3 linked regions of the Oryctolagus cuniculus genome follow. The protein of the gene in region 1 interacts with the protein of each later gene in a biochemical or structural test. Links are inferred from orthologs where the notes say so. Each region holds a gene or a part of one and is shown on either strand. Other genes may lie near its edges. The genes, in order: TRIM24, RARA and RXRA.

Region 1 (3,640 bases):
AAAAGCCTGTGCTAGGAGTTCGGCAACTACTTGGTTCATGTAATATCATTATGTGTTCCTAGTTTGAAGGTAGTGCTAAGTGAGCACATTCAGTCGGATTTCAGTACGTGATGATTAACTCGTTTTATGAATGTGTATGATTTCCCCCTCCTCAGGACCTGTCACTATGACTAGTGTACATCCCCCAATTCGTTCACCTAGTGCCTCCAGCATTGGGAGCCGAGGAAGGTAAACGGACTTAACCATATTCTCTAGCACATGAAATTTCTAAGTAGTAGCTCCTGCCAGTGCTCAGCACAATCGGATACTCAGAATATTCTGAACAACTTCCTTTATTTTTCACTTTTAGTTGAAATTTTAATCATTCTATTTTAATTTAATAAATGAATTGAGCATAAATTTATCTTTAAAATATTTACCTATATGTTGAAAATAAAATGTTTGACATTAGCATCAGAGCAAGGGAGGAAAAAGGTGAAACAGGAATAAAAACACACTGCACTATATAGAGACACAAACAGGGAAACAAATGATAATCTTATAACAATTTCAATGTTCTCTAACTTTGCTACTTTAAAAAGAAATAAATTTACATTTTTTGCAAATGTAGTGTAGTCTTCCCCTCATTGTGCTTACAGTTAGTCCTAGATGGTGAATCCGATTCTTGCTTAGCTCATGTGGAGGAAGCATTCTCTGAGGGGAGAAACCTGTTGGCCTTTCTTCCGGGGAGGGTAGCAGCTGTCCGTAGAAGGTTTTTGCCCCACTGCCTTCTTGAAATAGCAGAACAGCAATAAACGGTTGTGTAGTTCATTGTCTTCACACTTCAACAACAAGTTGTTAGTGTGAGTTGTCATAGCTACTGACCAGCTGAGAAATGGGACAACCTAAGAAAGATGTTCGTTCTGAGATACTGTATCTGCTTGCCAATTTTAGAACTCAGTTATCTTTCAATGCAGGGTTTATGTCAACATCTTCCCACACGCAGTATGTGGTTGTCTAGAGAGGTTAGCATGTGAACCTTCTTATCAGAGGGGATGCTTTTGCATCACGGCAGTTGCATTTCAGTTACGCACCGCTTATTGCTGATGTAGCAGTTGGCATGATTGTGGTGGTTTTTCCAGAAGTTGATTGCATATATGGTTGTGACGTCTAACGTGGCATTCTTAGTTCTTTCCTTCTCTCGTTCTGCTTGCAGCTCTGGCTCCTCCAGCAAACCAGCAGGAGCAGATTCTACACATAAAGTGCCAGTGGTCATGTTGGAGCCGATCCGAATAAAACAGGAAAACAGTGGACCACCTGAGAATTACGATTTTCCTGTTGTTATAGTGAAACAAGAATCTGATGAGGAATCTAGGCCTCAAAATGTAATTATTTTAGTGCTTGGTATGCTATTTCTATTTGGGGAGTGGGGTATGAGAAATAGCTCTTAAGGTTTAAAAAAAAAAGCCCTATATATCTTTAAAGGTTTTAAGAAATTTTTAGGAAATCGCAGTAAACAAAAAGATAAGATGGAAGACAAGAAAAGAAATGTTTGAAAAATCAGAGGCTCAAATGAAGAGGCTAGGCTTTTGGGGTAAAATAAAAGAGAAATGAATAGTAGTTAAATTGCTGAAGAAATAATAAAAGATTATGTTCTGGTAACTGAAGGGCCCAAGAATCTGAATGGAAAGGACCCACCAAGAACCGGAACCATAAATGAAAAAGATTCAAGGCATATTATTACAAATTCCAGAACACCAGAGGAAAGGCAGATTCTAAATCGTTTCTAGGGAGAGAAGCCTCTTAAACAAAAGGGTTAAAAATCATATTGTTAACAGACACTAGAACCTGGAAGAGAATGAAGAAGTAGCTAAAGTATGACAAAGTATTTTTAAGACATATTTACTTATTTAAAAAGAGCAACAGAGAGAGGTGTGGTTTTTTTGTTTGTTTGTTTTTAAATAAATCCCTTGATTCACTCCCCAAATGGCCACAACAGCCAGGTCTGAGCCAGGCTGAAGCCAGGAGCCAGAAACTGTTCTGGCCTCCCACATCAGAGGCAAAGACCCAATTCCTTGCCCGTCTTCTGTGCCTTTCCAGGGATGCATTAGCAGGAAGCCGGGTCAGAAGTGCAGCTGTCTCTGGCATTGCAAGCAGCAGCTTAACCCACTGCTTTGCAACACGGGCCCTGGAAACAGAATTTTCTAAACAAAATGTTTTACTTAGAAAAAATTTATTATGCATGAAGACTAAATATTATGAGACGTCTACAAAAGTCTCAGACAGTTGTCCACATACACATTTTCCAGGTGTGTATACACATATAGGAAAGCAAAAGCTCTCTGGGATCTTACGCAGAGCCAGAAAAGGGCAGGTTCCAGTAGAGTGGTCTGCAGTGTGGACGACTGTGGGCTCCATAAGGTTGCATCTGTAGTGACAGAAATGTTTGCGCAGTATTGAAGTATTTTATAACCTTGTGGAGACTGTGAAAATGACATAGATAAAGGTGTCTGGAAAAATATGCAAGTAAAAAAATAAGGTGATTATTTTTTGTAAAAAACAAAAGTTGTACAGAAAGGGAAATGTAGTCAGTACATTTTTGATTTTGCGATGAACTGTATTTGTATCATCATGGTGTAAACAAACACCTGAATGTAGATGAGTTGAGACCTGTGACACAATCAAGATATAACCTGAATTTGCTTTAATCAAAATCTTTGAGAATCCTTGAACCAGTACATATAGTTACTGATCGTTTGGAATAAATGCTAGCTATAAACCATTATATGCATACCATCTAGAAATTCTGTGCTGAATAAAAACTGCTAGGAGGGCGGGATGCATGCTGGTGGTGCTAGTAGTTGTGAGGGTAGAGTCAGAATGCAGAAACTGACCCTACTCATCTTCCCTAGTAGGGATTTTGTAAAGCAAGTCTACGTACATACCAAATATACACACACAATACATATAGCAAGGCCATGCAACATACATGGCAATAGAAAACCCAAGAAATTATAGATTGTACAGGCATTTTATTTAGTCCTGTAACATAAGGAAAGGCTAGATGCAAAAACAGTTGTCCCCAAAGAATGAGTCGAGATGGTTCTGTTACTGGTTTGAAAGTTTGCCACCTGAGGCTTGTGCAGAATGTTTAGATTCCTACCAGAGGTTTCGTGTCTTAGGTAGAATCTGGGTGAACAGCCCTCGTCCCGTGTATCTACAGCTCACTGAAGTTCACTTGCACATCACCTCTTCACTCTGCTGCAGCCATCAGCAGATTCAGAGGTTTTCTTTTCCCCTCTATTGTGCACACCCCTTGCTGCTGCTGACCTATTTTGATATTTTTTATTAGTCTTCTGTAAAACCTATCTTGTTCTCTCACACATTCACAGACTCCCTTGAAGTAAGTAACCAGTTCATCAAGAGACAGGAATGTGCAGTCTGCAATCATGGAAATGCTAATTTAAAAAGCCAATTAGGCCGGCGCCGCGGCTCACTAGGCTAATCCTCCGCCTAGCGGCGCCGGCACACCGGGTTCTAGTCCCGGTTGGGGCGCCGGATTCTGTCCCGGTTGCCCCTCTTCCAGGCCAGCCCTCTGCTGTGGCCAGGGAGTGCAGTGGAGGATGGCCCAGGTACTTGGGCCCTGCACCCCATGGGAGAC
Region 2 (4,398 bases), on another chromosome or scaffold:
TGGAGGCCAAGGTCAGGACCCAGCGCAGTATGGAGTTTGTGGGGGCAATGTTAGCCACCCTGGAAGGAGCCCGTTGGTGTGGGTGGAGGTCTCCCAGCGCCTGGACCTGCCTTGCAGCCCCTCCCTGAGAATTCTCCCCTCCCCCTTCCCCTCTGCCAAGGGTTGCAGGAGAGGCTTAGCTGTGGCAGGAGACCTTTTGGGTCTTGCAGGGCCCTGGACCTTGCCCCCCCCCCCGCAGTCCCCTTCTCATGCACTAGAGAACAAGGGGTGCACAGGACGTGGCTCCCCATCTGTCCCCCACCCGTCTGCGCCGCTCACGCCTCCACCCGCTCCCAGACGTCCAAGAATGTGAAGCACGTGGATGCCCGTAGTGGGGGGAGGGGGAGATGCTTATCAGCCGGCCGCTGGGCTAGGGGCCTTCTTCCGCCGCCGGGCTACACCCGGAGCCACCCCCACCCGCTTCCCAGGAGGAGGAAGGGCAGCACCGAGGGCCCAGAGCCCACTCCCCAGCCCTCCCCGGGGGCTGTTTAGGGAGCTGCAGAGGAGAGGGCGCCAGCTGGATTGGGAAGGGGAGTCGCTGGCCGGGGGCCCGGCTGATTTCCTGCTGATCTCCTCCAGGAAACCGGCCCCTTGTGCGAGCCTGCGAACGAACGGCTCTGGGGCGTGGGGAATCCGGAGCGCTCAGCTCGCCCGGCGGCCAGGAGGGAGGTGCGGGGGAGGGGCGCCCTGGCGGCGGCGGGAGGGGACGCCTGGCTTCCTGGTCCGCTTCCAGCCCTCCGCTGGGCGCTGGAACTTTGAGCTGAGAAGGTGTGGTTCTTCTCCCGCCTGAGCCCTTCTGCAGCTGGAGAGGGATTTGTGGGCCAGGGCCTCTGGGTAGGGAGGTTAGGGGAGAGGCCGGGTCGGGCGGCCTCTCCCTGCCTCTCCCGAGTGCAGGAGTTCCTGCTGTATCCTAACTCGCGCAGAAACTGAGGGGCGCCTGGGGTCCCTCACACTTTTGCCTTGGGTCGTTTTACCTGGTCTTCCTAGGCTGCGGGCTGGAGGCCTTGGCCCCAAGCTCTGGATTCAAAGGGCAGAGCCAGAAACCTCAGAGCTGGGTTACCTGGGAGAAAGGTGGGGATATTCTCAGGCTGGGGTGTTGCAGCCTCAAGGGCCTGCGGTCAGTGGCCGGAAGGGAGGTGGGAGGTGTCACCGAGTCCGAACTGTAGCCCCTGCGTGGGTTGTCTCCCCCGTCTTGCCAAAGATCATTTTAAAAAGCACTTTCCTCCAGTTCTGCACACACCCTCTGGACTTTGCCTTAGCTCCCAATTTCTGTGTGCCTTTCCCGGGCCTTAGAGCCCTGCCTCTCCCCGGGCCCCGCCTCCCGGCCTCCACTCTGCTCCCTGCCCCCTGCCCCCTGGGTCCTGCCGCTGCTGCTGGTCTGGCTCATTTTTGGGGTGGGGCCTTGGGAGGAGGCGGGGCCCAGGGCAAAGGGTGGATTAACAAGGGAGGCCAGTGCCTTCTTCCTCTGCTTGTTGGAATGCTGAGCGGGGATTCTAGGCCATGGCTGCCCCCCCCATGTCCTTGACACCCCCCCCCCCAGTCTGGATTGTCTATTGTTACTGTTTTTACGTCTTGGAAAAAGTTAGCACAACAAAGGGCTTCTTTGTGGCTCACCCCTCTGCCTCCTGGCCTCACCCAGGCCCCCCAACCCCAACCCCCCCCCCCCCAGCAGCTGTCCTCAGGCCTCCCTGCCTGTCTGATTTGCTTGTCTGGCCTGGTGAGAATGAGATGGGGGGGAAAACCAGGGCGGTTGGGTGTGGGGATGAGGAGCTGAGGTTCTGGGAGAGGTCAGTGAGGAGTGAATCTGTGGACCAGTGGGGGACAGCATCTACTGTCCCTTTGCTGCAGGCTGGTCTCTGGGCAGGGCAGGGCTGTCAGGCTGATGTGGGCTCTGGTGCCAAGGCTGTTAGCCTGGGTCTCGGGCGTGTCTGCGGCTAAGGGGTGACGCGCGGCCGTGAGGTGTTTGAGCCAGGAGCTGTGGGCTGGGGCGTGGAGCTGGGCTGTCAGGATCGCATCCTCACCCTTCCTAGGCCTTGCACAGGTGGAGGTGGCCAGGGCTGCAGGAGAAGCTGTACGGTTCTCATCCAGCACACTGCACCCCCCACCCCTGCCAGCCCATCCCTGTTCTGCCTGGGGCGATGGCAGAGAGCCAGGCACTGGGGAGGCTTTGGTCAGTGGGGGACAGCTCCTGCTGGCTAGGTCACCCCTCCTGGCTGCCCTCTGGGGGCTGAATTAACAGGAGGGGAGGGGTGGTAACCCGGACATACTGTTGAAGCCAGACAGACAGAGCATTGATGGGAACAGACCCCCCTTTGTCATGCTGCCTCCCCTGAGGCAGGGGGCACCCAGGGTGATGGGCTTCTAGGGCTCTGTCCCCAGGTGGTCTCTCCACCTATCTCAGGGGACCCCCACCTGCTGTGCCCCAGCCTTCGGGATTCTTCTTTGTACACCCGCCTGGGTCTGCCTGGGTCCTCGGCCTGGGGATTGTTTGGGTGGAGGAGGGGCCCTGGCTGTTGGCAGAGGGGGGTGGAGGGAGGGGCAAGCGGAAGCAGAGGGGGTGAGGGAGTGGCTGGCTTTGAATATCCTGTTGACCCCCATTTCCTCTGCCCCCAGCTTGTGTCTTCTCTCCTCCCTCCTCATCCAGCCTTAACTCCTTCCTAACTTGGGGGAGTACCGGCCAGGCCACCCGAGGCAAGGCCTAAGAATAGGGCCGGACCACCTCCTCCCAGGCAGAGCCCAGTACACAACACACACCCACATCTGATGGTTTATGATCTCAGCTTTCTGTGTTGAGGACGGGGTCCTGGGGAAGTAGACGGGCGTGATGGGGTCCCAAGGCTTCCCCCAAGCTTGACTGGGGAGTCCCAGCTTTCCCGAGACCGTCCCTGCCAGCAGTAGTGAGGCTGGGAGAGGCTCTGGAGGGAGACCCTGAGCAGGGCGGGGCAGGGCATCAGGGATGGCGCCTGGTCTCTAACCGCCCCCTCCCTTTCTCTCTCTCCAGCCATTGAGACCCAGAGCAGCAGTTCGGAAGAGATAGTGCCCAGCCCTCCCTCGCCACCCCCCCTCCCCCGCATCTACAAGCCCTGCTTTGTCTGCCAAGACAAATCCTCTGGCTACCACTATGGGGTCAGCGCCTGTGAGGGCTGCAAGGTGAGACTGGGGACTCTGGGAAGGGCAGTCTTGCTTAGATAAATGGGATGTCCCCGCTGTCACGCCCTGGGAGAATTCGGTTGAGGGCAGGGGCTGTCCCTGATGCTGCTGCTCTTGCTTGTGTGTGGAAGTTGCCAGCAGCCTTGAAGGAGGAGGGGGTGCCAGCAACAGAAGCTCCCCCATAGATGAGCAGGGCTCCCCCCAAACCAGAGGCCCCCTCCTGCCCGAGCTCCCCCCGCCCCCGTCTCCATGCTCCAGCCGGCAGGGCGTGCTCCGCTCTGCCACCGCTGCCCAGGTTGCCATGGTGAGCTGGCTGCCGACCGGCTCTTGGCTGGGGACCCAGGAGGCCTGCCCCCGGCGGCCCTGCCTGCACCTCGCCATGACAGCCTGGCAGGCGGCAGTTAGGAGCGGAACCCTGCCTCGGCTTCCCCTACAGGTGCTGAGGCTGTGGGCTCCCCAGCGTCTGCATTTTTCCCGTCCTCATGTTAGGCCCCAGCAGCTCTGGGCCTGGCTGGTCCTCTTCCTAGGACCAGAGCCTCCACACCAGTTTCTCTCTCTAGATATTAGGGTTTGGAAGCTGTACAGTCTTGGGGCTCTGGGCTGCCCATCAGCTACCTGTCGGTGTGGGACACAGGTTCAGGGCACAGCTCAGGACCTAGACTGTGTGTGTCTGCCTGCTCTGTCAGGTCGTTTCTGACTTGTTCCTCATCTGTGTCCCTGGGGAGCCTGGGTGTGGGGCCTCTGACCAGCCCGGGTCCATCTCTGAGTGCTTCATGCACGTCTGTCCGGGTGGTGACTGGGTCTTGCCACCTGGCTCCTGAGCGTGTGTGAGTGCATGAGTGCCTCCGTCTCTGGCCAGCTCACGTGTCTGAGTCCAGGCTGTGGGCTCCAGATTCCCGCCTCTGTCCCAGCCAGCCCCACGGGTTACAATTCCTGACTCAGCAGCAGCCCGAGGTCCTTCTCCCTAGAGGGAAGGGGTCAGGTGTGTGGATGGAGGCTGGGGGAAGACTCCTGCCCACCTCGTAGCGCTGAGGCAGTAGCGGGCTTCTCCCAGGGGTGACTCATCGCCCCATCTTTTCTGGCCTGCTCAGGGGGGTGATGGGCGAAGGCTTGGGAGCAGCCGCTGGCCTGGCCCACTTTCCCCAGCTGCGACTGCCGGCTGGGCGCCACTCCCGCTGTGGGTGTTGGTGACCTGACTCTCCCCTCTCC
Region 3 (3,640 bases), on another chromosome or scaffold:
CACACACAAACCCACAAAGCAACGTGATGTCTGTAGCTCCCTGGCCCCACTGGGGCCACAGCTCAACAGGGAGGCGTTGGCAGAGAGCCCACGGGGCCCCGTCCATCAGGGGCCAGGGGGAAGGAAGCAAGACACGTGTGTGAGACCACGGGAGCAGCCACAGAACAGACATACGCATGTGAGGCCACAGGAGCAGCCACAGAACACACACGTGTGAGACCACGGGAGCAGCCACAGAACTGACACACACGTGTGAGACCACGGGAGCAGCCACAGAACAGACACCCACACGTGTGAGACCACGGGAGCAGCCACAGAACTGACACACACGTGTGAGACCACGGGAACAGGCACTGCGGCAACCGCAGCCCACGCCTGGCTGGACGCCTGGGCTCTCAGTGACCTCAGGGGAGTGGCCTCCCTGCCACCCACTCCCCACACCAAGTTCCGCCAGCACAACGGCTTCAAAGCCCTGAGCGGGGCCTGAGGCGCCTCCTGCAGGCGGCGACCCCGGGCAGGGGCAGGAGGGGCCCCATGAGGAAGCAGAGTGCGGGACGATGCCCCCACCCTGCCGGCCAGCGGGCGTGGCGACAGCCCACAGGTCTCAGGCGGCGCCCCAACATCACCCTCCCTTCACCGGGCACAGCCGGTCACAGCCGGAGAGCGGGACGCAGCCCAGGGCTCGGGGCACCCACTCTTCTCCCCGGCTCCTGCCCGTGGCCCCACGTGCTCTCCGGAAGGCTCGCTCCAGGCTGCCCGACTCCCGGAGCCCACTCACTGCTCCGTCCCCCAGCACGGACGCCACCAGGGAAGGTGGGGGACAGCGGCCAGTCTGCCCCGTCTCCTCGCTAATCCCAGGGCCTGGCAGACAGCAAGTGCCCAGTGCTGCCCTGAGAGCTACCTGCCCCCTCAGAGAGCAGGGCCCCGCCCCCAGCACTACCCAGTCCCGCCTCTCCCAGGAAGCCCCGCCTCTCCCAGGAAGCCTCACCTCTCCCAGGAAGCCCCGCCTCTCCTGGGGAAGCTCTGCCTCTCCCAGGAAGCCCCGCCTCTCCCGGGGAAGCCCCGCCTCTCCCAGGAATCCCCACCTCTCCCAGGAAGCCCCGCCTCTCCCAGGGAAGCCCCGCCTCTCCCAGGGAAGCCCCGCCTCTCCCAGGAAGCCCCGCCTCTCCCAGGAAGCCCCGCCTCTCCCAGGGAAGCCCCGCCTCTCCCAGGAAGCCCCGCCTCTCCCAGGGAAGCCCCGCCTCTCCCGGGAAGCCCCGCCCACCATACAGCAGCAGCAGCGCTGGATGAGCTCGGGCCTGGGTGCTGTGCTGGGCGTGGCCGGTGGAGCAGGGCCCCGCCCCCACCCCGCCCCCACCCGGGCCTACCTTCCCGCTTCATGCCCATGGCCAGGCACTTCTGGTAGCGGCAGTACTGGCACCGGTTCCGCTGCCGCTTGTCGATCAGGCAGTCCTTGTTGTCGCGGCAGGTGTAGGTCAGGTCCTTGCGCACCGTGCGCTTGAAGAAGCCCTTGCAGCCCTCGCAGCTGTACACGCCGTAGTGCTTGCCTGCGGGGCGGGGCCGTGAGCCGGGGGCAGGGCCTGGGGCCTGGGGGGGCACAGGGAGGGGGCCTGGGGCACGGGGAGGGGGCACGGGGAGGGCTCGGACACGGGGAGGGGGCCTCAGGCACGGGGGGGGGCACAGGGAGGGCTTGGACACAGCCCTCGCAGCTGTACACGCTGTAGTGCTTGCCTGCGGGGCGGGGCCGGGGGCGGGGCCTGGGGCACGGAGGGGGGGCAGGGGGAGGGCTCGGACACGGGGAGGGGGCCTCAGGCACGGGGGGGGGGCACGGGGAGGGCTTGGACACAGCCCTCGCAGCTGTACACGCTGTAGTGCTTGCCTGCGGGGCGGGGCCATGAGCCAGGGGCGGGGCCTGGGGCACGGAGGGGGGGCAGGGGGAGGGGGCCTCGGGCACGGGGAGGGGGCCTCAGGCACGGGGGGGGGCACGGGGAGGGCTTGGACACAGCCCTCGCAGCTGTACACGCTGTAGTGCTTGCCTGCGGGGCGGGGCCATGAGCCAGGGGCGGGGCCTGGGGCACGGAGGGGGGGCAGGGGGAGGGGGCCTCGGGCACGGGGAGGGGGCCTCAGGCACGGGGGAAGGGACACGGGGAGGGCCTGGACACGGGGAGGAGGGGCTCAGACCTGGGGGAGGGGCTTCAGACACAGGGAGGGTCCTCAGATGGGGGCGGGCCCTTGGACCAGGGGGCAGGGCCTCAGACATGGGGGAGGGGCTCAGACACGGCCCGCAGCTCTACACACCAGGGTGCTTGCCTGCCGGCACAGGGCTGCTGAGGGACTGCCGGGGTGTGGGGTGGGGGCGGGGCTCGGACACGAGGGCCGAGGCCAGGGCCAGCAGCAGGCTGGTCACTCTGCAGGCGGGGGTGGGGGCAAGTGTGGCTGGACACCTGGACAATTTCAGTGGCCTCAGGGAGCGAGGGCCCCGTGCCCCCACGCGAGTTCTGTCCGTGGACAAAACGGACTCCAAGAGACCCTGGGCTCCTGAGCCTGCCTGGGCGTAAGCTGGGCCCCGCCTCGCCCTCCCCACTGGGGGGGGGGGCAGACCCGCTCCCGGCCACAGGGGAGCCGGCTGGGGAGGGGCATCTGGGCCGCCGTGGGCTACCCAGGGGGACCCTTCCCCAGGCCCCAGACGCCCCGACTCCGGGCGCGGGTCCCCCCGCCAGGCCCTACCTGAGGAGCGGTCCCCGCAGATGGCACAGATGTGCTTGGTGAAGGAAGCCATGTTCCCCGAGGGGTGCGTGGGGACTTTGAGGACGCCATTGAGGCCCAGGGGGGGCTTGATGTCCTCGCTGCTGCTCACGGGGTTCATGGGTGAGTTCAGCTGCGGAGGCGGGGAGGGGGGTGACCAGGTGACTCTCAGCCCAGACACATGGCCGACCCCACCCCTGTCGGCCCCTGCCCGGCGCCCACCTGACCACAGGCAGCCTCTCATCAAGGAGACCCCAGAGGCCTCCTGGAGGGAGGAGAGCTGGGCTCCCCCACTGCCCTGCGGGGCCAGCTGGGGCGGGGTCCCCGGTCACGTGACCCGGGAGAGGGCACAGACACCGCCTGCGTCTGGGGCAGGGCCACCTTGCGGCCTTGCACTCCTCCCTGGCCCGCCGGGCCACCCGCCCCGCCTGCCCGCCCCGCCGGGGCGAGCGTGGGAAACTCACCCGGTCACCCTGGCAACAGCTGCCGCGTCGCAATGACACAGCAGTTTTGGTTCCGCTGCCTCCGCCCAGCTCTGCAGTCAGCGCAAAGGGCCAGGAGACACTTCCCACTGCCTCGCGCCTGCCCGCCGCCGCCGGCACCGCTGGCGGGACCCCAGCCCGGCAGCAGCCCCCATCTCCGCTTCTGCAAACCCCCAATGACTCGGAAAGCTGCTGAGTCGCCCGCGGCTGGCTCCAGGCCGCCTCCGGCAGAGGGAAGCTCTCGCCTTCCCCTCCTCTCGCTGCCCAGCCCCACCCCGTCTCCAGGGACAGGAAGAGCCCCCTGCAGAAGCCAGCACGCACAAAGCGCCCAAAGCCTCCCTCCGCTCCGGCCTCAGCGCCCTCAGCGCCCACAGCGCCGGGCACGACTCCTCTGGCCCCAGCCAGATCCAGGT

The links.
Region 2: the proteins of TRIM24 (region 1) and RARA form a complex in vitro, tested with the Homo sapiens proteins (3 studies listed by BioGRID). The link is inferred for Oryctolagus cuniculus from reciprocal best matches to the Homo sapiens genes TRIM24 and RARA.
Region 3: the proteins of TRIM24 (region 1) and RXRA form a complex in vitro, tested with the Homo sapiens proteins (3 studies listed by BioGRID). The link is inferred for Oryctolagus cuniculus from reciprocal best matches to the Homo sapiens genes TRIM24 and RXRA.

What each region holds. Positions count from the first base shown.
Region 1 is NC_091434.1:185,293,311-185,296,950, reverse strand, and holds part of TRIM24 (transcription intermediary factor 1-alpha), read left to right. Parts: intron 1-155; coding exon 156-228; intron 229-1,195; coding exon 1,196-1,364; intron 1,365-3,640. UniProt on the Homo sapiens protein: Transcriptional coactivator that interacts with numerous nuclear receptors and coactivators and modulates the transcription of target genes.
Region 2 is NC_091448.1:22,126,397-22,130,794, reverse strand, and holds the start of RARA (retinoic acid receptor alpha), read left to right. Parts: upstream 1-1,524; 5' UTR 1,525-1,539; coding exon 1,540-1,756; intron 1,757-3,040; coding exon 3,041-3,189; intron 3,190-4,398. UniProt on the Homo sapiens protein: Receptor for retinoic acid. Retinoic acid receptors bind as heterodimers to their target response elements in response to their ligands, all-trans or 9-cis retinoic acid, and regulate gene expression in various biological processes.
Region 3 is NC_091432.1:235,969,218-235,972,857, reverse strand, and holds part of RXRA (retinoic acid receptor RXR-alpha), read right to left. Parts: intron 3,116-3,640; exon of another isoform or gene 2,968-3,115; intron 2,879-2,967; coding exon 2,728-2,878; intron 1,548-2,727; coding exon 1,368-1,547; intron 1-1,367. UniProt on the Homo sapiens protein: Receptor for retinoic acid that acts as a transcription factor.